3 linked regions of the Oryctolagus cuniculus genome follow. The protein of the gene in region 1 binds, or shares a complex with, the protein of each later gene. Links are inferred from orthologs where the notes say so. Each region holds a gene or a part of one and is shown in the gene's direction. Other genes may lie near its edges.

Evidence for each region.
Region 2: TPRKB (region 1) and OSGEP share a complex: the UniProt entries of both Homo sapiens proteins name them as parts of the EKC/KEOPS complex. The link is inferred for Oryctolagus cuniculus from reciprocal best matches to the Homo sapiens genes TPRKB and OSGEP.
Region 3: TPRKB (region 1) and LAGE3 share a complex: the UniProt entries of both Homo sapiens proteins name them as parts of the EKC/KEOPS complex. The link is inferred for Oryctolagus cuniculus from reciprocal best matches to the Homo sapiens genes TPRKB and LAGE3.

Annotation. Positions count from the first base shown.
Region 1 is NC_091433.1:129,229,229-129,235,934, forward strand, and holds part of TPRKB (EKC/KEOPS complex subunit TPRKB), read left to right. Parts: intron 1-1,186; coding exon 1,187-1,349; intron 1,350-2,202; coding exon 2,203-2,325; intron 2,326-4,755; coding exon 4,756-4,932; intron 4,933-6,706. UniProt on the Homo sapiens protein: Component of the EKC/KEOPS complex that is required for the formation of a threonylcarbamoyl group on adenosine at position 37 (t(6)A37) in tRNAs that read codons beginning with adenine.
Region 2 is NC_091443.1:54,298,946-54,305,044, forward strand, and holds the end of OSGEP (tRNA N6-adenosine threonylcarbamoyltransferase), read left to right. Parts: intron 1-590; coding exon 591-710; intron 711-880; coding exon 881-1,056; intron 1,057-3,236; coding exon 3,237-3,332; intron 3,333-3,478; coding exon 3,479-3,528; intron 3,529-3,667; coding exon 3,668-3,746; intron 3,747-4,283; coding exon 4,284-4,349; intron 4,350-4,460; coding exon 4,461-4,551; intron 4,552-4,784; coding exon 4,785-4,860; intron 4,861-4,935; coding exon 4,936-5,034; intron 5,035-5,188; coding exon 5,189-5,228; 3' UTR 5,229-5,424; downstream 5,425-6,099. UniProt on the Homo sapiens protein: Component of the EKC/KEOPS complex that is required for the formation of a threonylcarbamoyl group on adenosine at position 37 (t(6)A37) in tRNAs that read codons beginning with adenine.
Region 3 is NC_091453.1:132,703,881-132,711,038, reverse strand, and holds LAGE3 (EKC/KEOPS complex subunit LAGE3), read left to right. Parts: upstream 1-3,635; 5' UTR 3,636-3,722; coding exon 3,723-3,931; intron 3,932-4,203; coding exon 4,204-4,332; intron 4,333-4,612; coding exon 4,613-4,727; 3' UTR 4,728-4,928; downstream 4,929-7,158. UniProt on the Homo sapiens protein: Component of the EKC/KEOPS complex that is required for the formation of a threonylcarbamoyl group on adenosine at position 37 (t(6)A37) in tRNAs that read codons beginning with adenine.

The DNA of each region.
Region 1 (6,706 bases):
GAAAGGCAGAGTTACAAAGAGGGGGTGGGAACAGAAATATCTTACATCCTCTGCTTCACTCCCCAAATAGCTGCATCAGCCCCAGCTCGGCCCAACCAAAGCCAAGAGACAAATTCCATCTGTGTCTCCCATATGGGTGACAAAAGCCCAAGAACTTGGGCCATCTGCTGCTGCTTCTCCAGGCACATTAGCAGGGAGATGGACTGGAAATGCAGCAGCCTGTCCTCGAACCATCACTGATATGAGATGCCAGTTTCTCAGGCAGCAGCCTACCCTACTATGCCACAATATGGGCCCTTTAAATTGTCTTTTTTAAAACTGTCTGTTAGGTCCAGCGTTCTGGCATAGTGGGTTAAGATGCTTCCTGTGACACCATCATCCCATACGGGTGCCAGTTCATGTACTAGCTACTCCACTTCTGATCAAACTCCCTGCTAATGGGCCTGGGAAAGCAGCAGAACATGGCTCAAGGGCTTGGGCTGCTACCACCATATGGGAGACCCAGAAGCAGCTCCTGGCTCCCAGCTTCAGCCTGGCCCAGCCCTGGCCATTGCTGCCATTTGGGGGAGGGAGCCAGTTGATGGAAGGTTCCTCTCTCTTTCTAACTCTGCCTTTCAAATAAATAAATAAAACGTCTTCATTTCTATCCTTTCCGTGTTATGCCTGTGTCTAAGGAAGGGCCAACATATTATTGATTCTTTAATAATCATGTCCTCTCTACCTAATTGCCATGTGTGGAATGAGTATCTTTGGGTAAGTTGTGATACTTCATCTTTCAAATTTTATTTTATTCCTTAACATTTGTGTGCAGGTCTTGCTAAAATACAAAGTGGTGAGCCAGAAAGTTACAAAGGCTGAGAGTAAGGTTTCATTAGTCCCACAGGTGTTCTGCTCCTAGCTATCTGCTGGGAAGCAGCCCCCTGGTGCAGCCCCCCGCACCCCAGCCTGCTCATCTGGACGAACAGACTGGCTGGTTAGACTTTCTTCCAGCAGCAGTAAAGGAACTACAGGCAGCTCAGTGGGCTTCAGAAGACAGATGTGCTTGGGAGCAGGGTTTTCTCGTTTAACCGTTCTGTGCTGCTGTTACAGCTACTTTTACTTATTTGTTGGCAAGGATACTGGTTTGTGAAGGAATGAATCATAATGTTAACAAAGGAAACTTATTAGTCTTTTTGGGTTTGTGCAGTGGAGTCCTGCTTATCTGTGAAATGCAGCTAATGCACCAGCTGGACCTGTTTCCCGAATGCAGGGTGACCCTTTTGTTGTTTAAAGATGTAAAAAATGCTGGAGACCTGAGAAAAAAGGCCATGGAAGGCACCATTGATGGTTCACTGATAAATCCTACAGTGGTGAGTACAAAATGGGAGAATGAAGGCACCACGCAGGCATTTAAGGCTGTGCCACTTTCTCACCATGCTACTGGTTAGCCTACAATCTTAGCATCAAGTGAAAAGTTCTCATCCAACTCAGACTTGGCCAACCTTGAATTTAACAGTGAGTGGACACAGAAGCACCAGGCCCTGCCCCAGGGAAAAGGAAAGGTAGTGTGGCTGACCCCCGTGGTGGACGCCAGGGACCCCAGCTGCTCATCTGTGAGATGAGCGTTGTGAGGAAGCCAGTCTGGAGAGGCGTGGTGCCGCGGTTAAGACGACGTGACCGGGACCCAGCCACAGCTCTGCTGCTTACTGCAGCTCCGAGCAAGTGACAGCCAGCCTTTATGTGGCACTGACGTGCTCCTAGGATTGCTCTAAGTGTCGTTCTTCTAATTCTGACTCACCTTCCCAACAACCTGGTGAAGTGAGTTCTGGCATTTTTTGTCTCTAACTTAGCCAGCTCCCCTAGGTGGGAGAGCTGTGATTCACACCCTGACACGCCACGCCTCAGTCTCCTCAGCTACTACCTGTGAATAATGTCAGTTTCTGTGGGTAGCTTTAGGATTAAGGATCATACAGGTAAAATGTTTTAGAATGGACCTTTCTGATAATATTAGCCCTGGATAAATGTTAAACATTCTTACTGTTTATTTAAAGTTTACTATTCTGATTTTTTTCAGTATCCAGACCTTTGATGTAATAGTTTTGAAAGTATACTCCACAAGAATTGTGATAAGCTAAGGCAGCTTGACACTGGAGCGACCCTGGGATAAGGCCCGTGTCTGCAGGGTGTGCCAGAATCTCTGATTCTTGTTGTTCTCTTTGGTAGATTGTCGATCCATTTCAGATACTTGTGGCAGCAAACAAAGCCGTTCACCTCTACAAACTGGGAAAAATGAAGACAAGAACACTGTCTACGGAAATTATTTTCAACCTCTCCCCAAACAACAATGTAAGGTGGCATTCACTGTTTCTTTTAACCTTGTCCTAATGATCTGTGTGTTCCCCAGACATGGGTCGGAGACTGAGTTCCTGCAAACCAGTTATTAGGAATAGACCAGAATAACTGCAAAGAGAGCTCTGGACAGAGAGTTGAGTGGAGCTCTGCCTCTGAATAGTTGAGTCGGCCTTGGAGCCAGTTTGCTTGTGAGGAAAACAGAAGTTGAGCTAAGCTAGGGAGGCTAGTTTTGTTTGTCCTTCTTAACATACGGGATTGGGAAGATCTCGTCAGTACTGATGTTTAAGAAACAGGCGGAAACCTCAATGACCAGACGTTAGGCACGGACAGTTGATGTGTTAGCAGGCACGTGTTTCACTCTCCCTGTAAACTTCTTGTCCTTTCTGTGTACCAGGAACTTACTGGTGATATGGGCCTTGATGTCTTAATCTTTTTTTTTAAAAGATTTTATTTATTTGAAAGGCGGAGCCAGAGAGAATTCCATCTGCTGGTTCACTCAGCGAATGGCCACAATGGCTGGAACTGCACTGATTGGGAGCCAGGAGCTTCTTCTGGGTCTCCCACAAGGGTGCAGGAGCCCAAGGACTTGGGCCATCGTCTACTGCTTTCCCAGGCACATTAGCAGGAAGCTGGATCAGAAGTGGAGCAGCCTGGACTCGACCCAGCGCCCATATGGGATGCCAGCACTGCAGGCAGTGACTTTTACCCGCTATGCTACAGCGCCGGCCCTGGTATCTTAATCTTTACTCTAGGACTGGCCCCGCACAGAGAGAATTCAAAGCAGAGGCATAATACAGTGCACAAGTGAAAAGTTTTTATTTAAAAGTGAGAGTGAATGTACATGCATGGTGAGTGGGCTGCCCCACACATAGAAATACCTGTCAAGAATGGGCCAGAGAGTGCCCATGAGAAGAGAGAGAAAGAAAGCCAGAGAAGGGTCCCCAAGCATGGCAAAGGGCAAAAGAAGGTCCCTCCTCTGTTATCAGCTGCTTTTATGAAGTAGGGGTGGTGTCAATTAAATAACAAATGGAGGGGAGGTCTTAGCATGCATGAGCTCTCTGAGATTTTTATGGCACATCCACTTCCATGTGGCCATCATGGCTTCTCCTTCTTGGACCTGGATGAGACACAGGTGCATCCTGGGAAGGCAGGCATGGTAGATTGACAGGTGAAGGGATAAAGCCTGCTCATACATCTACTACACAGGAAGAGTCCACAGCTTGAAATACTCACAATAATACTTTCCCAATAAGAGCTAACTGAATTAGGGACTGGCCCTGTGGGGTAGTGGGTAAGCCAACTCGTGTAGTGCTGGCATCCCACATGGGCACCAGTTCAAGTCCTGGTTGCTGCACTTCCAATCCAGCTCTCTGCTAATGTGCCTGGGAAAGCAGCAGAAGATGGCCCAAGTGCTTGGGCCCCTGCATCCATGTGGGAGACCCAGAGGAAGCTCCTAGCTCCTGGTTTCAGCCTGGCCCAGCCCCACCTGTTGGTTGCCATTTGGGGAGAGAACCAGCAGATGGAAAACCTCTCTATGTAACTCTACCTTTAAATAAATAAATCTTTTAAAAGAAAAAGTTATTGAGCTAAAGGCATTCCACACACTGTATATGCAAAAATGCCTGAAATTTTGCTAATGAAGTTTTAGTATTGCTGCTACTACTACTGTTAATAATGCAACCTGGTACTAACAGCATCAAGAGAAAAATTAGGAAACCTGTGGCATGGTCTGAAATACAGATAATTACAAAGTTTGTAAAATGCACTTGCCTCAGCCTGCTAATGGAATTCTCCAGTACCTGGAATACAGTTTACCAGATTAGTTATTTCTTTGAAAACATTTGAAATAATTCACGAAACTGTTCAATGGACATGGAACTTGTCCCATTTACAGTGCCAGGGGCAGAAAATGCAAATATATTCCTGAGGAAAGGCAGATAAACAAGACAAAAGTTAACGTGCCCTACAGTGAATATGGAAATATGATGTTAATTGTCGGGGTAACGGAAGAAGAAGGGTGTGGCAGAGTGGCAGCTGAACCAGGCCTTGAAGCACACATTCGGTGGTCAGGCTGCAGGGAAAGGGGGAGACAGAGTGAAATCTGGCAGGATCCCCAAGCCCGAGAGGCCAGGGGCATGTGGCTAGAGGGTCACTTGGGCCGTGGGAGTGGGCTATTTATGTGAAGTGCCAAGGAGTCTGGGCCTGATTCCATAGGAACCAGGTCGGCTAAAGGCCCGGGGTGCCTTGGAGACCCTAGCAGTAGTTGGTGGAAAGGGACGATTGAGGGGAAAAGCAGGCAGACAGCTGTTTCCAGGTGAAGAAGAACTGTACCAAGGAGGATGGTGGACCAGGAGGTGTTTCAGGTACAGGAAACCCCGACTCATTATCTTGATGCTTTTGGATTTTGTTTGTATTTTTTCTTAGATTTCAGAAGCTTTGAAAAAATTTGGTATCTCAGGAAATGATACTTCAATTCTAATTGTTTACGTTGAAGAGAGAGAAAAACAAATAAATCAAGAAGACCTAATATCTCAAGTGGAAGGGCAGCAGGTTTCTCTGGAAAAGCTTCCTGAAATAACAAATATTACAGAAGTCAAAAAGGTTCGTAAAACTTCACACAATTTTTTTTTTTAAGATTTATTTGAAAGAGTTACAGAGAAGGAGAGGCAGAAGGGAGAGAGAGGTCTTCCCTCTGCCAGTTCACTCCCCAGTTGGCCACAGTGGCTGGAGCTGCATGGATCTGAAGCCAGGAGCCAGGAGCTTCTTCCGGGTCTCCCACGTGGGTGCAGGGGCCTGAGGATTTGCGCCATCTTCTACTGCCTTCCCAGGTCATAGCAGAGAGCTGGATTGGAAGTGGAGCAGCCGGGCCTCGAACCAGCGTCCATATGGGATGCCAGCATTGCAGGTGGTGGCTTTACCTGCTATGCCACAGTGCTGGCCCCTATACAAACTTTTTTAAAAGATTTTATTTATTTGAAAGAGCTACAGAGAATGAGAGAGAAATCTACCTGCTGGTTCATTCCCCAAAATGGCTGCAACAAGCCAGGGCTGAGCCGGGCTGAAGCCACGAGCCAGGAGCTTCTTCCAGGCCTCCCATGTAAGTAGCAGGGGCACAAGCACTTGGGCCATCTTCTGCTGTTTTTCCCAAGCCATTACCATGGAGGATTGGAAGTGAGGCAACCGGGACATGAACTGGTGCCCTTATGGGATGCTGACATTGCAGGCAGTGGTTTTACCCACTATGCCATGACACTGGCCCCTGTAAAACTATATATTTATATAGAGTGTGACAGATGAGGAATGTCAGTGCTGCTTGCTTAGTAATCAACAGTTCACCTATTTTTTTTTTTAATATTTTAAAAAATGTTCAGGGCCTGGCACTGTGGCACAGTGGGTTAAAGCCCCAGCATCCCTTTTGGTTCGAATCCCGACTGCTCCACTTCTGATCTAGCTCTCTGCTGATGCGCCTGGTAAGGCAGTGGAGGATGGCCCAAATGCTTGGGGCCCTGCACCCATGTGGGAGACCTGGAAGAAGCTCCTGCCTCCTGGCTTTGGCCTGGCCCATCCCCATCTGTTGGCGGCCATCTGGGGAGTGAACCAGTGGATGGAAGACCTCTCTGTCTCTACCTCTCTCTGTAACTCTGCCTTTCAAATAAATAAAATAAATCTTAAAAAAAAAAGTTCGATAACTAGAAGGTGCAGGTTTATGTACAGTATAATTAGAAACTTAGTTGATGAACTGTTCTCAGTTAAGAAAGTGTATGCCTTAAGGAGTAGCGTTTGGTACAGTGGTTAAGATGCTGCATGAGATGCCTGCATGCAACATCAGAGTGCCTGCCTGGGTTTGAGTCCCGACTCTATTCCGAGTCCAGTTCCCTACTAGTGTGCACCCTGGGAGGATGCAGATGATGGCTCAAGTACTTGGGTTCCTATCATCCGTGTGCGAGCTGCCAGTTGAGATCTGGGCTTCCTGCTTTAGCCTAGCCCAACTTGGGCTGTTAGAGGCAGCTGAGGAGAAAACTAGAAGACAGAAGATACATCTCTTTCTGCCTCTCAGATAAAACAAAAACAAACAAAAAATTTTATAAAGAAAGTAGATACCTTCAAATCTCAAGCTTACATAGTACATTTAAAATGTAAAATAAATTTAGTATGACATTAATGTCTAGATATATGCTTTTAAAATTGATGTAGATTTGACACTTTGGGTTTTTATGTGCATAAGTGTAGCTTAAAGGGAGTATTAAATATGCGCTGCATTGCTATCTACTTGAAATATTTTAATCACATTTGTGGTTTGTGATTTCGCACCATTTACTCAGTGAATGAGGAGGAATTTCACTTATATATTTCTGTGTAATGATAGTTACTAGTA
Region 2 (6,099 bases), on another chromosome or scaffold:
GGTAGGTATCGGTTGAGTTTGTTTTTTTTTTCAAAGATTTTTTTTTTTTAATTTTAGAGTTATAGGCAGAGAGAGAGAGAGAGAGAGAGAGAGAGGTGTCTCCCATCTGCTGGCTCATTTCCCAAATGGCCACAATGACCAGAGCTGGACCAATCTGAAGGCAGGAGTCAGGAGCTTCTTTTGGGTCTCCCACATGGGTTCAGGGGCCCAAGCATTTGGGCCATCTTCTACTGCTTTCATCAGCAGGGAGCTGGATGGGAAGTGGTGCAGCGGGGACTCGAACTGGTGCCCATATGGGATGCCGGCACTGCAGGTGGACGCTTAACCTACTACGCCACAGTGCCGGCCCCTCACTTGGGTCTTAATGCTGAGTAGGAATTGAGTAGGAAGAAAGGCACTTCTGATACCTGAACAGCTTACGTAGAGGTTAGAATGTGTCTGAAAACCTGGAAGACAGGGTGCTTGAGGAGAATGGAAGGAGTCTTCCTGCATTACTGAAACTCAGGAGGCTTCACTGTCATAGTTTTAAAATTCTACTTGTCTTTGCTGCAGAAAACCCTTATGACCCCTGGCCTGTTCCCATTTTCTAGGATTCCTTCCAGGTGACACTGCCAGGCACCACCGAGCTGTTATCCTAGATCTGCTGCAGGAGGCGCTGAGCGAGGCTGGATTAACCTCCCAGGATATTGACTGCATTGCCTACACCAAGGGTATGACTGGGGGAGGGGTCAGTGTTGGAGGAATGTGGAGCCTGGGTAGGTCAAAATGTCCTCTGCCTTGCCTCTGTCACCACCACAAGCCCTCTCCCGCTTTGACATTCCCTAGTTCCTCACCTGTTTTTTTCCAATCCAGCATTCTGACTACCATTTCTGTCCCCTAGGTCCTGGCATGGGTGCTCCACTAGTTTCTGTGGCTGTCGTGGCTCGTACCGTGGCCCAGCTGTGGAATAAGCCATTGCTAGGCGTGAACCACTGTATAGGCCACATTGAGATGGGCCGTCTCATCACTGGAGCCACCAGCCCAACTGTGCTGTATGTCAGCGGGGGAAACACACAGGTATTTTGAGTACTCCACCTATTTCATCCTACTTTGTGGGCAGTGAACCAGTGACTTCTGTGGCTTACCTGAGTTGTGGGGACTGCCTGTGAAACAGAACTGAACCTAGCTCTTCACCAGAAAACTCACAACAGAGTTCGTAATAGCAGATTTCGACAGGTTATTAAAACTTTAGGTGACTTTTATATATTTGATTATACAAAAAAGATTAGGAATTTCCAATTTAGAAAACAATGATAAGGATTTAAGCTTATATTATTTTGAAGCTTTTTTTTCTGTACATTTTAGCAATTAAAACTAAGGGGCACTACCAATTTATTTATTTATTTTTTTAAGATAACTAGACATTTTGTAATGAAGGTAAATGTAGACTTTGCTATTTTAACACTACAAAATGTAAGTAACTTTAAGAAGCAACTTTATAAATGTTAAAAAGAATTTTACATGTATAGGTGTAGCTAAAATTGCTTGGGATACTTTACATGACCTTTTAAGGTTGGGATTGGATTTCTTTCCCACGGAACACCTAATAGGGTTATTAGAAATAGCTCAGCATTGTCCCCAGCTTATGAAAGGGTTGTGTTCTGAAACTGTTTTGTGAAGTGGTTACTGTGAGGCACACCTTCCTGTGGTGACCATGTGGGAACATGAGTGCGTAGAGGGCAAGTAGTTGAAGCCTGAAGGATGACATACAAGTTTAGGGACTTGGGTTGTGGAAAGCAGCAATAGACACTGTAGGAGTTCATGAAGAGAAGTGGTAAGGGTTCCTCTTCCTCTTCCCTTTCGAATCTTTCTTAGATGTTAAAAGCAAAGATGATGATTGGGTGGTAAGGAATAACTAATAGAAAAAAGGTTTTTTTGCCAGCAAAGAAGTATATCAGAAAGGAAGAAAATCCCTAGTGGCACTGGGAGGGGAAAGGAACTCTCTGGTCCCTGGGAAGCCTGCAGCATGAGACCGTAGGTGCTGGGTATTTGCTGTGTGGAAGTTGGACACATGAAGAACTGGCCTCAGGAGACTGCCATTGCTGGGTTGGGTGGTCCATTGGTCTGACCCCACATAAGGTTTTCTGTTTCATCAAAATGACTTTCTTTCCAAATGCCACTACCGTGGTAGGAATCTAGAATGATTCTTGCTTCCTGTCTCCAAGCAAGATACCTGTTCCTAATCTACACCGGCAGGGTGGCGTCTAAGGAATGTGTCCAACCTGTGAAGCGGAGAAATGTATTTGAAATTATAGCTTGCGGCCGGCGCCGCAGCTCACTAGGCTAATCCTCCGCCTTGCGGCACCGGCTCACCGGGTTCTAGTCCCGGTCGGGGCGCCGGATTCTTTCCCGGTTGCCCCTCTTCCAGGCCAGCTCTCTGCTGTGGCCAGGGAGTGCAGTGGAGGATGACCCAAGTGCTTGGGCCCTGCACCCCATGGGAGACCAGGAGAAGCACCTGGCTCCTGTCAGCGGATCAGCGTGGTGCGCCGGCCGCGGTGGTCATTGGAGGGTGAACCAATGGCAAAGGAAGACCTTTCTCTCTGTCTCTCTCTCTCACTGTCCACTCTGCCTGTCAAAAAAAAAAAAAAAAGCCGGCGCCGTGGCTCAATAGGCTAATCCTCCACCTTGCGGCGCCGGCACACCGGGTTCTAGTCCCGGTTGGGGCGCCGGATTCTGTCCCGGTTGCCCCTCTTCCAGGCCAGCTCTCTGCTATGGCCAGGGAGTGCAGTGGAGGATGGCCCAGGTGCTTGGGCCCTGCACCCCATGGGAGACCAGGAAAAGCACCTGGCTCCTGGCTCCTGCCAGGATCAGCGCGGTGCGCCGGCTGCAGCGGCGGCCATTGGAGGGTGAACCAACGGCAAAAAGGAAGACCTTTCTCTCTGTCTCTCTCTCTCACTGTCCACTCTGCCTGTCAAAAAAAAAAAAAAAAAAAAAAAAGAAATTATAGCTTGCTTCTGCCCTGACCAATCTATCTTCTATAGATTAGGAATCTACTCTGGAAATCCTCAGGGTATGTGGGCTTCTTAGATAAGAGCTATGTTTTTAAAAATCACCCCTTAAGGGTCTGGGGAAGCTGTTTTTTCCATGTTGTCTTTGAAGCTCTGGTGGCTGTGTTGACCCTCTGCTACGTTCTTCCCCAAAGCCAAGTACTCCTCTTTACAGCCCTGAGGTTTCATGGAGATCCTCATCACCTCTAGGTGATTGCATACTCAGAGCGTCGGTACCGCATCTTTGGGGAGACTATCGATATTGCTGTGGGTAACTGTCTGGATCGTTTTGCCCGAGTGCTCAAGGTAAGCCCATGGGGCAGCAGGGAATCTAGATGTGGGTGGATTCCTGGGGAGCTATGGAAGTGAAGGAGGAAGTAAATAGCTTCGTCTTCCCACGTGCCTGACTCCATCCTCTTCCAGTCTTTTTTTTTTTTTTTTTTTTTTGGTAGATTTCCAATGACCCCAGTCCTGGCTACAACATTGAACAGATGGCAAAGAGGTAAGGGAGTGCAAGGTGGAGGCTGGCTGCTAGGGCTTCAGGGCTTGCTCTACATGTACATTAGCGAGATTCGGGAAAGGCTTTGCAGGGTGAGCGCCAGCTGACTGTAGGCTCTGTGCCCTTACTTATCCCCATATAGAGGCAAGAAACTGGTCGAGCTGCCCTACACTGTAAAGGGGATGGACGTCTCATTCTCAGGGATCCTGTCTTTTATTGAGGTGAGTGTGAGAGGTAAGATGGGGGCATTTCTGTGTTTTTTTTTAATGAAGCTTATCTGTTTTACTTTCTGTTTTATGTCTTATATATAGCATAGTCCTGACCTATATCAGGTGCTGAATAAACTCACAACAGTTATTGGCCATCTTCTCTGTGCCAGGCACTGTTCTAGAAAGCAAGGATACAGCAGGGAGCAAAACAGAAATTCCTGCCTACGTGGAGCTTAGATTCTAATGAGGGAGATAGACAAGAAACAAGAGGGGGAAAATAACCTAGAGTACATCAGGAGGGAAAAGTGCTATGAGAAAAATTAAGCAAGATGCATAAGGGGTGGGGTATGCAAGAGCACGCGTTCAAGAAGTAATTCTAGAATCTGGAGTGCTACCAGTTCTTGGTACCAGAGAAGGGCAGGGTGTGGTATAGGATTTGCTCGCAGTGTGAATTGTGGTGAAAGATGCTAATTCTCTTGGCTGTAACTTTTGCTCTCATGTAATCTCCACATCACTGTTACATTGTTCCTTTTTCTCCTTCATTTGCAGGATGCAGCCCAGCGGATGCTGGCCACAGGCGAGTGTACTCCCGAGGATCTGTGTTTCTCCTTGCAGGTAATGGAGTACAGGCTGGTGCAGAAAGTTTGGGCTGGGGGAGGTTTTATACAATAGAGCAGAACTAAGCTGGGATGTCCCTGATATTTGCTCCTTGTCTGTCCCCCACAGGAAACCGTGTTTGCAATGCTGGTAGAGATCACGGAGCGAGCTATGGCGCACTGTGGCTCCCAGGAGGCCCTCATTGTGGGAGGTGTGGGGTGTACGTATCATTGAATGGTGTTGCTCTTTCCTTTTCTTGGCATTGTGAGTCTTAGTCCCATTACTCTAAATGGCCAGGGATTTGGAAAATTATTAGTTTGCTCTCTTGCCCTGTGCCTCCCCATTCTTGCCTCTAGTCCTCTACTTCATTGTCCTAAGTGCACTTAAGATGTGCAGCTGGGTCAGGGAGAGATACCTGAAACTAAGCTAACCCTGTCTCCTGCCTCTTTATAGGTAACGTGAGGCTACAGGAGATGATGGAGATAATGTGCCAGGAACGTGGAGCTAAGCTTTTTGCCACAGATGAGAGGTAGAGACCTTTTCTTGTTCTGTTACTGTGATTTTATGCCCCTAGATCCTAAATCTCATGTCTCTTGCGTCCCAGATTCTGCATTGATAATGGAGCCATGATAGCCCAGGCTGGCTGGGAGATGTTCCAGGCCGGACACAGAACCCCACTCCGTGATTCTGGGATTACACAGAGGTGAGTGATTCCCTCTTTGTGGGGAATAGACAGGCTTGTTTGGGAGGTAGGCCAGAGTCAGCACAGGAGAGAGTCCATTCCTGATGGGGAGACAGAGAAAAATGGAAGGTGGTAAGGGGTAGACCTCCATCAGATTTTTCCTCTTTTTCCACAGGTATCGGACAGATGAAGTAGAAGTTACCTGGAGGGACTAGCAAGATGAACAGGATCAGAGTAGATAGTTTCCTAAGGGGAGCCCACAGGAACCTGGGCCTGACTCTCCTTCCTGACTTGGGAGTCATGGCAAGGCTATGGAATCCAGTCCCCCTGGCAAAGCTGGGGCCTGCAAGCACGGTTGGGAGCCCCTGTGGAACCTTAGGATGGCTCAAAAATAAAGAATTTTTGATTTTATATGTTGATAATTAGATTGTGTTCCTCAGAACAGGGTACAGTCTTGTTGATGGAGTGAACAGATAAGGAGCCGGGGTCAGAACAGCACTGTGACTGACTGTGCAGGTAGCCTCTGGAGGCCTCTGCCCAGGAGCCAAAAACGGGGAGAAGTCATGGGTGCTGTCCTAACGGCTCTCTAGCAATGTTGTTTTAGTATCAGACCCAGTCCTGTCTGCTTTATAGTCATTATCTCATTTGAATTATGTGATGTAGACACTCAGGACTTTCTTCAGGATAGCCTGGAGATAGGTCTGATTACAGCTTGAGTAAAACCGCCCTTGTCCATGCACTTCCTCCCACGCACGTCACATGTGCCTCCATCGGCAGGCTTCCCTCCTGCCGCAGCCACCAGAGTAATCATCCCATTATGTTTGCATGATTATCATCACAACAGGTCTTGAACTGCCGAGTCACCTCATCTCTTTTAAAAAAAAGATTTATTTATTTATTTGAAAGGCAGAGTTACAGAGAAGCAGAGGCAGAGAGAGAGAGAGAGAGAGAGATAAAGGTCTTCTATCCACTGGTTCACTCCCCGGTGGCTGCAACAGCTGGAGCCAGGAGCCTGGAGCTTCTTCCAGGTCTCCCACGCAGACACAGGGGTCCAAGGACTTGGAGGACTTGGGCCACCTTCTGCTG
Region 3 (7,158 bases), on another chromosome or scaffold:
ATGAAGGGCAGGAAGGAGAGGTGAGAGGCATAAAAGGAGCTGGGATCCAGGTCACATGGGCTTTTCTAAGCCACAGCAGCAAGTCTGGGTTGTTTTGGTGTTTAAGCAAGAATGTCATCTGATGTGATTTTTACTAGAACTTGGAAACTCAAGTTTCAAGCCTGTGGAGAGCAGGCTGTGGAAGGTAAGTGCACGGAATCACCAGTCATAAAGCTGTCGAAGGGGGCTGGGAAGGCAGCAGAGGATTCCCAAGTGCTCGGGTCCCTGCCGCCTATGTAGGAGACTTGCATTGACTTCTCGACTCCTGGCTTCTGCCTGACTGAGCCCTGGCTACTGTGGGCATTTGGGGAATAAAGCAGCAGATAAAAGATCTCGCGCGCGCGCTCACTCTTGTCTTCCAAATAAATAAATCTTTTCAAAAAAAACCTGCAGAAGGGCCAAAGTTGTGGCCGAGTGGGTTAAACTGCCGCTTGTGACACTTGTTAGGCCGCCACAAAACACACCAAACACCGGAGTAAGGGAAAGGGGTTTATTGGGGAAACCCCGCAGGCTGGAGGGGAGGGGCCAAGAGGAAAAAGGGAGAGAAGGAGAGTATAAGAGAGACAGAGAGGAGAGGAGCTAGCGAGGAGAGAAGAGAGAGCGAGCAGGAGAGACAAGAGGAGGCGAGGGGAGGAGAGGAGAGCAGAGGAGCCAAGAGAGCCACGTGTTCCGGAGGGCAGGCAGGGAAGCAGGAGCAGCGAATTAGGATGGGGGAGGAGCTTGACACCGGTGGTTGGGCCATGTGGCCACCTGGCTTCCCGCAATGGCGGCTGGGGCTAGAGCCTAGGATGGTGTCAGGGTGTAGATTGCGCCATAGATAAAACTGCGCCATTTTCCTAACTACACTGGCATCTCATGTGGGTGCCAGTTTGAGTCCCAGCTGTTGCACTTCTGATCCAGCTTCCAGCTAATGCGCCTGGAAAGCAGTGGAAGATGGCCTAAGTACTTGGGCCCCTGCATCCACGTGGGAGACCTGGCTCCTGACTGGCCGGGACCTGACTGTTGCAGTTGTTTGGGGGGAGTGAACCAGCAGATGGAAGACCTTTCTCTCTCCCTCCCTCTCTGTAATTCTGCTTTTCAAATAAAGGAATAAATCTTGGGGGGGGGGGATTTATTTATTTATTTATTTGAAAGGCAGAGTTACAGAGAGAAAGGGAGGGAGGGAGAGAGACTGCTGCACTCCCCAAAAGGCTGCCACAGCCAGGTCTGGGCCAGGCCAAAGTCAGGAACCTGGAACTCTGCTACTAGTGGAGGGGAGTGCTGTTGCCGGGGTTAGTTTCTTAGGTTCTTTTCCTCCCTTTAGTATAGAATTAAAAAACAGGAAACAGTATGCAAAGAAGCAGATACTTTTATTTGATTGGAGGTGCCCATCAGATGGGAGGTGGTTTCACATACTATATGTTGATTGGCTTAGGAATCATGGAGATAGTGGGGGGCTCCTGGAAGCAGCCTGACTCCCTCTAAAGGCTCAGCCCCCTCCTCTGCCGGCTCTGGGTGAAGGATTGCCCCCCCCCACCCTGAAGGTGTGATGGAAAGCTGCAAGGTCACACATGCGCAAAGAAGCTATTAGTGGGGGGGGGGGGGGCTGCCGGTCGGTCTAGAGACATTTTACCTATATCTGAGGGGCACACGTGCCCCCAGCCCCACTGGACGGGCTCAAATTCCATCCTGGTCTCCCACAAGGGTAGCAGGGGCCCAAGGACCTGAGCCATCAAATGCTAAATGCCCAGAGCGCAGTGTTTCTGGATACAGGCCCTCTGCTTCTCCATCCCCCTCCCTCTGTGGGATAAGGCTGCCAGGAGGGTTTCCGGGGCATTGAATTCCTGAAATTCCTCCCAGACCTTCATCAGCACAGTGTGGCTGGACCTTAATAGCCCTCTTGGCTGGAGGTGGGAAAAATTCCCTCAAGCTGCCCCTGGGGGAGGGCTGGGTCTGCTAAGGAGGTGATGCAATGTGCGAATGCACGTTCTGGTGCAGATGCTGGTCTGCTTCCAAGGCTCGCATCTACACTTTTTCTCATTCATCCACACCAAAAATCCCACTTTCTCTGGCCCCTCTTGTTAGCAGAGTTGTGTGGAATGGAAGTTCTTGCCTTCACGCAAAAGAGAAGTCAGATGTGAGAGAGTCGTCAGCAAGGCGTAACACTAGGCAGGGCACGTGTCGGAACTGGGCACCTGAGCGAGTGTCCAGTCATTCAGAATGGGGAGGGCAAGGTTCAGCGGCTAGAACTTTCCTGATGGGCCAAGCGCCAAAGAACCAAGAGCTGAGCTGAGAGCCCAGTCCGCACTGAGACCGGGCCTTCTGAGGGACTGGGGTCCAGTTCTTCCCTGTTTCTCTTCCCCGCAAGGGCTTTGCTGGGTGTGAAATGGGTGAAATCCCTCCCAAAGTTTTATTACCCAGTTATCAGACTGAGCAGCCTGCTTAGCGCCAGACAGAGGGTTCTCCTGGGGTGCCTTTTTGGGAGGCAAGGCTGGGGCCACCAATAAAGTGACGGGGGTGGACAGGGCTTTGTCGTGTAAAAAAATACAGGACTGCTGCCCAAGTGCACGTCCCAGGCTGCTACATTGCTTTCCACCAGGGCTTTGTTTTCCTTAGGCCCTCTTCACACACACAGCTAATCTCTCCCTTGCTACCTAACAGCCTCACACACAGTCTGAGATCGATCTTGTTACCTAACAGAACGAACTGATACAATGGAACTACGATACATTTGGCAAACTTCAGCGACGGAAAAAAAATCTAGAGCCAAGGTGGCGTTGTAGTTTACCAGGTAAGGCTGTAGCCAGCAACGCTATGAAATGGTTGCTCCTCTTCCAATCCAGCTCTCTGCTGTGGCCTGGGAAAGCAGTAGAAGATGGCCCCGGTCCTTGGGCCCCTGCACCTGTGTGGGACACCCTGAAGAAGCTCCTGACTTTGGATTGGCGCAGCTCTGGCAGTTGCGGGCAACTGGTGAACCAGTGGATGGAAGACCTCTTTCTCTTTCAAATAAATCTATTTAAAATTTATTTATTTGAAAGATAGGGTTAGACAGTGAGAGAAAGAGACAGAGAGAAGGTCTCCCCAAATGGCCGCTACGGCTGGCGCTGCGCCGATCCGAAGCCAGGAGCCAGGTGCCTCTCCTGGTCTCCCATGCGGGTGCAGGCACCCAAGCACTTGGGCCATCCTCCACTGCACTCCCGGCCACAGCAGAGAGCTGGAGAGAAGAGGAGCAACCGGGACTAGAACCCAGCGCCCGTATGGGATGCCGGCGCCGCAGGCGGAGGATTAACCAAGTGAGCCACAGCGCCGGCCCCAAAATAAATAAATCTTAAAAAAAATATATATTGCAGCTCAGTTTCTCCAGGGCCTGTGGGTACCAGCAGCGCTGTGTTGTCGGGAACCGACCACGCATCTGCCTGCTTCACTGGAGGTATGTTCTGGCTAGCGCACTAGCATCGAATCACGAATGCAGTGTTTCTGAAGCTGCCAGGGTCTCCAAGAGCCCCCACGTTGGGCCACTATCGCGGGAACTCACGAGGCGTCCCAACAGCCTCGTCAAAGGTGTGTTTGCGCAGGCGCGCGTGGACGTGGTCGTGCGCGAGGGGCGGAGCTTCAGGAGGGCGGGCAATCTACGAAGCTCCTGGAGATGGCGGGCCGTGGCGCAGCGCCCTGAGGGTGGGGTTGAGGGCGGGGCAGCGGCAGCCATGCAGGCTGCGGACGCAGGCGCAGGCGGCGTGGCGGGCGGCGCTCACACCCAGCGTGGACGGCGTGGCCGCGACTTTCCCGATGGTACCGACACAGAAGCAGCTGCAGCCCGTGGAACTCGAGAAGTCGCGCAGGCACCGCACGCTGCCGTTCCGGGCGGAGACGCCGCGACAGCAGCCGCAAGCCCGGGAATGCGACCACACTCCTTGTATCCTGCGGGAGGGGCACAGTGGGGGAAGGGGGTGGAGGCTGCCCGTGGTGGGGGCAGGGTAGCCTGGAACAGAAGGTGGGAAGGGCGAGTGGGAGGACCGGTAGCACAGAAAGAAGAGCAGGGTAATCGGAGCCGCCCGGATGGCTGTGGGATTAAAGCGTTAGCCAGTGGGGGGCGCCCGAGAGAGGTCATGGAAGCCGTCAGAAGAGCCAGGGAAACAGACTCGGGCAAAGTCGCTTCCGATGGTGCCTTTACCAAACCTCCACCAGTACCCTCAGTGTGCCTTTTCCCACCCGTCTGGAGGCAGAAATCGCCTGTGAGTCCCTGGCTCCAGATGCTGAGCCTCACCCAGAAGCGATTGGAAAGGACCTCGCAGTGACCGGCACCGTCCTGGCGGTGTAAATGCTTCCGGGGGCCGGGGGTGGGGTGGCAGGAGTGGGGGAGCGGGAGGCGGTGAGGGGAAGGCAACAGGGGATGTGGCCATTCTCCACTGAGAGGTAGGCTGGGAGGCCTGGAGGCACTCCGGGGGAAGTCTAAGGAGCAGGTCTGGGACGCTGCCCGAGAGGCCCTGTAATACCGGGGCTTCCAGGATCTGCTGCACTGGATGCCTGAGGGGTAGAGCAAGGGATGTGGGCAGCTACTGTCCCCGACTTGATTTTCTTGTTCCTTCCCTTTTAGCCGCTGGACAGCTAAAGATCCTCGCCTCCTCCGAGTTTCCATCATCAGCTTTCTTGAGCAGCTTTCCCTGGTGGTGCGCACCCTGCAGCGCTTCGGGCCTCCCGTTGCCCGCTAAGACTGGACTGGGTAAAGGGGCCCAGTTGTTACCTTGCTCGCCTCCTAGAAAATGTGTCTCCCTAGGGCGATCATGCCCGAAGCAGGATGGGGCCTAATGGCTTGCCTGCATTGGGTTCTGGGTGCTCAAGATCTGTTTGTTTTCACCAGTGCTTAAATGTTTGCTACCACAGAAAATAAAACTGACCTCTTCCCAGTTTCATATCCTTTTCACATACAAATATCCTTGCCATTGTCCTGGAGTTGCAGTGGAAGAAACGAGATTCACATGTTTAAGAAATGCAAGTTGGGGGCCGGCGCCGCGGCTCACTAGGCTAATCCTCAGCCTTGCGGCACCGGCACACCGGGTTCTAGTCCCGGTCGGGGCGCCGGATTCTGTCCTGGTTGCCCCTCTTCCAGGCCAGCTCTCTGCTGTGGCCAGGGAGTGCAGTGGAGGATGGCCCAAGTGCTTGGGCCCTGCACCCCATGGGAGACCAGGAGAAGCACCTGGCTCCTGCCATCGGATCAGCATGGTGCACCGGCCGCGGCGGCCATTGGAGGGTGAACCAACGGCAAAGGAAGACCTTTCTCTCTGTTTCTCTCTCTCACTGTCCACTCTGCCTGTCAAAAAATAAAAATAAATAAAAAAAAATGCAAGTTGGGGCTGGTGTTGAGGGACAGTGGGTTAAGCTGCCACCTACGTTGCTGGCATCCCGTATAAGTACCAGTTTGAGTCCCAGCTGCTCTACTTCCCATCCACCTTCCTGCCAATGCCCCTGGAAAAGCAGCATAACATGGCCCAAATCCTTGGGCCCCTACCACCCATGTGTGAAACCCAGATAGAGTTCCAGGTTCCTGGCTTCAGTCTGGTCCATTTGTGTGGTGAACCATCACACCTTTCTCTGTGTCACTTGTTCAAATAAATAAATCTTAAAGGTAAAATTTAATTGTAGACAATTTAAGAAATAGAACAGGAAAATAAACAATTGGCCTTACCATTCAGCATTTGCTGTCAATGTTTTTGAATATTTCCTTCCTTTTAGACCTGTACTTATATAGCAAATATGCAGTGGTAATATATATAAAGTTTTACAAGTTTAGCACTAAGCTTTTCCTGATATCTTTAAAAGTCAGCATGAGGGGCCAGTGCTGTGGCGTAGTGGGTGAAGCCACCCGCCTGCAATGCCAGCATCCCATGTGGGCACTGGTTCAAGTCCTACTTGCTCCACTTCCGATCCAGCTCGTTACTAATATACTGGGAGAGCAGTGGAAGATGACCCAAGTCCTTGGGCCCCTGCACCCATGTGGGAGACCTGGAAGAAGCTCCTGGCTCCTGGCTTTGGTCTGACCCAGCCCTGTCTGTTGTGGCCAGTGTGGGAGTGAACCATCGGATGGAAGATTCTGACTCCCCCCCTGCCCCGTAACTCTTTTTTATTTAAAGATTTATTTATTTGAGAGGCAGAATTACAGAGAGAGACAGAAAGGTCTTCCATCTGCTGGTTCTGTCCCCAAACAGTTGCAACAGTGAAACTGGGCCGATCAGGAGCCCGAGTACTTGGGCTATCTTGCACTGCTTCCCCAGATCACAGCAGAGAGCTGGATCGGAAGTGGAGCAGCCAGGACTCGAACCAGCACCCATATGGGATGCCAGTGCCACAGGTAGAGACTTAACCCGCTATACTATAGCACCGACCCCTGTAACTCTTTCAAATAAATCAATCTTTTTAAAAAATAAAGTCTACATGAATGTTTACTCTTTCTTAGAATTCTTCAGAAACATTAATTTATCGATACATAAAAGGTGTTACAGGAATAGGCATTTGACCCAGCAGTTGATATGTCTGCATCCCCTATCAGAGTACCTGGATGCAAGTCCTTGGCTCCACTTCTGAGTTCAGCTTCTGTTGGGAGCAACCCGGACTGGACTGAGTTACTGGAATTAAGACTTATTCTATGCATCTGCTCTCCCACAATATGGCGCTGGGAGAGGAGGCAACAGCTTCTACCCAGCTGCCTCTCACCAACTTGACAAGCTGCAGGACCTGCTCCTGATTGGAGGAGAGCAGCGTACTCGGCGTGTGGGCAGCCGAGTTAGGATTGGCGGAGGAGGACTATAAAGGAGGAGAGAGACGGCATGCACCAGGAACATCTAAGGGGAACATCTAAGGGGAACACCTGTGCAGCCCCCGAGAGAGCCGGCCGGCGGTGTGCCGCTCCCCCGCGGAAGTGGGGAATGTGGCAGGGGGAACCGCCCTTCCACGGAGGTGGAAGGACCAGCAGCCAACCCGGGAAGGACCAGCAGCAAACCCGGGGAGGGCCGAGCAGACATAAGAACAGCGCAGGGTCCTGTGTCGTTCCTCCACGAAGACGGGGAGCGACATAATGGTGCCGTGACTCGGATATGAAGCCTAGGCAGGGTTCAGTGTTGCTCCTCCACGAAGACGGAGAGCGAC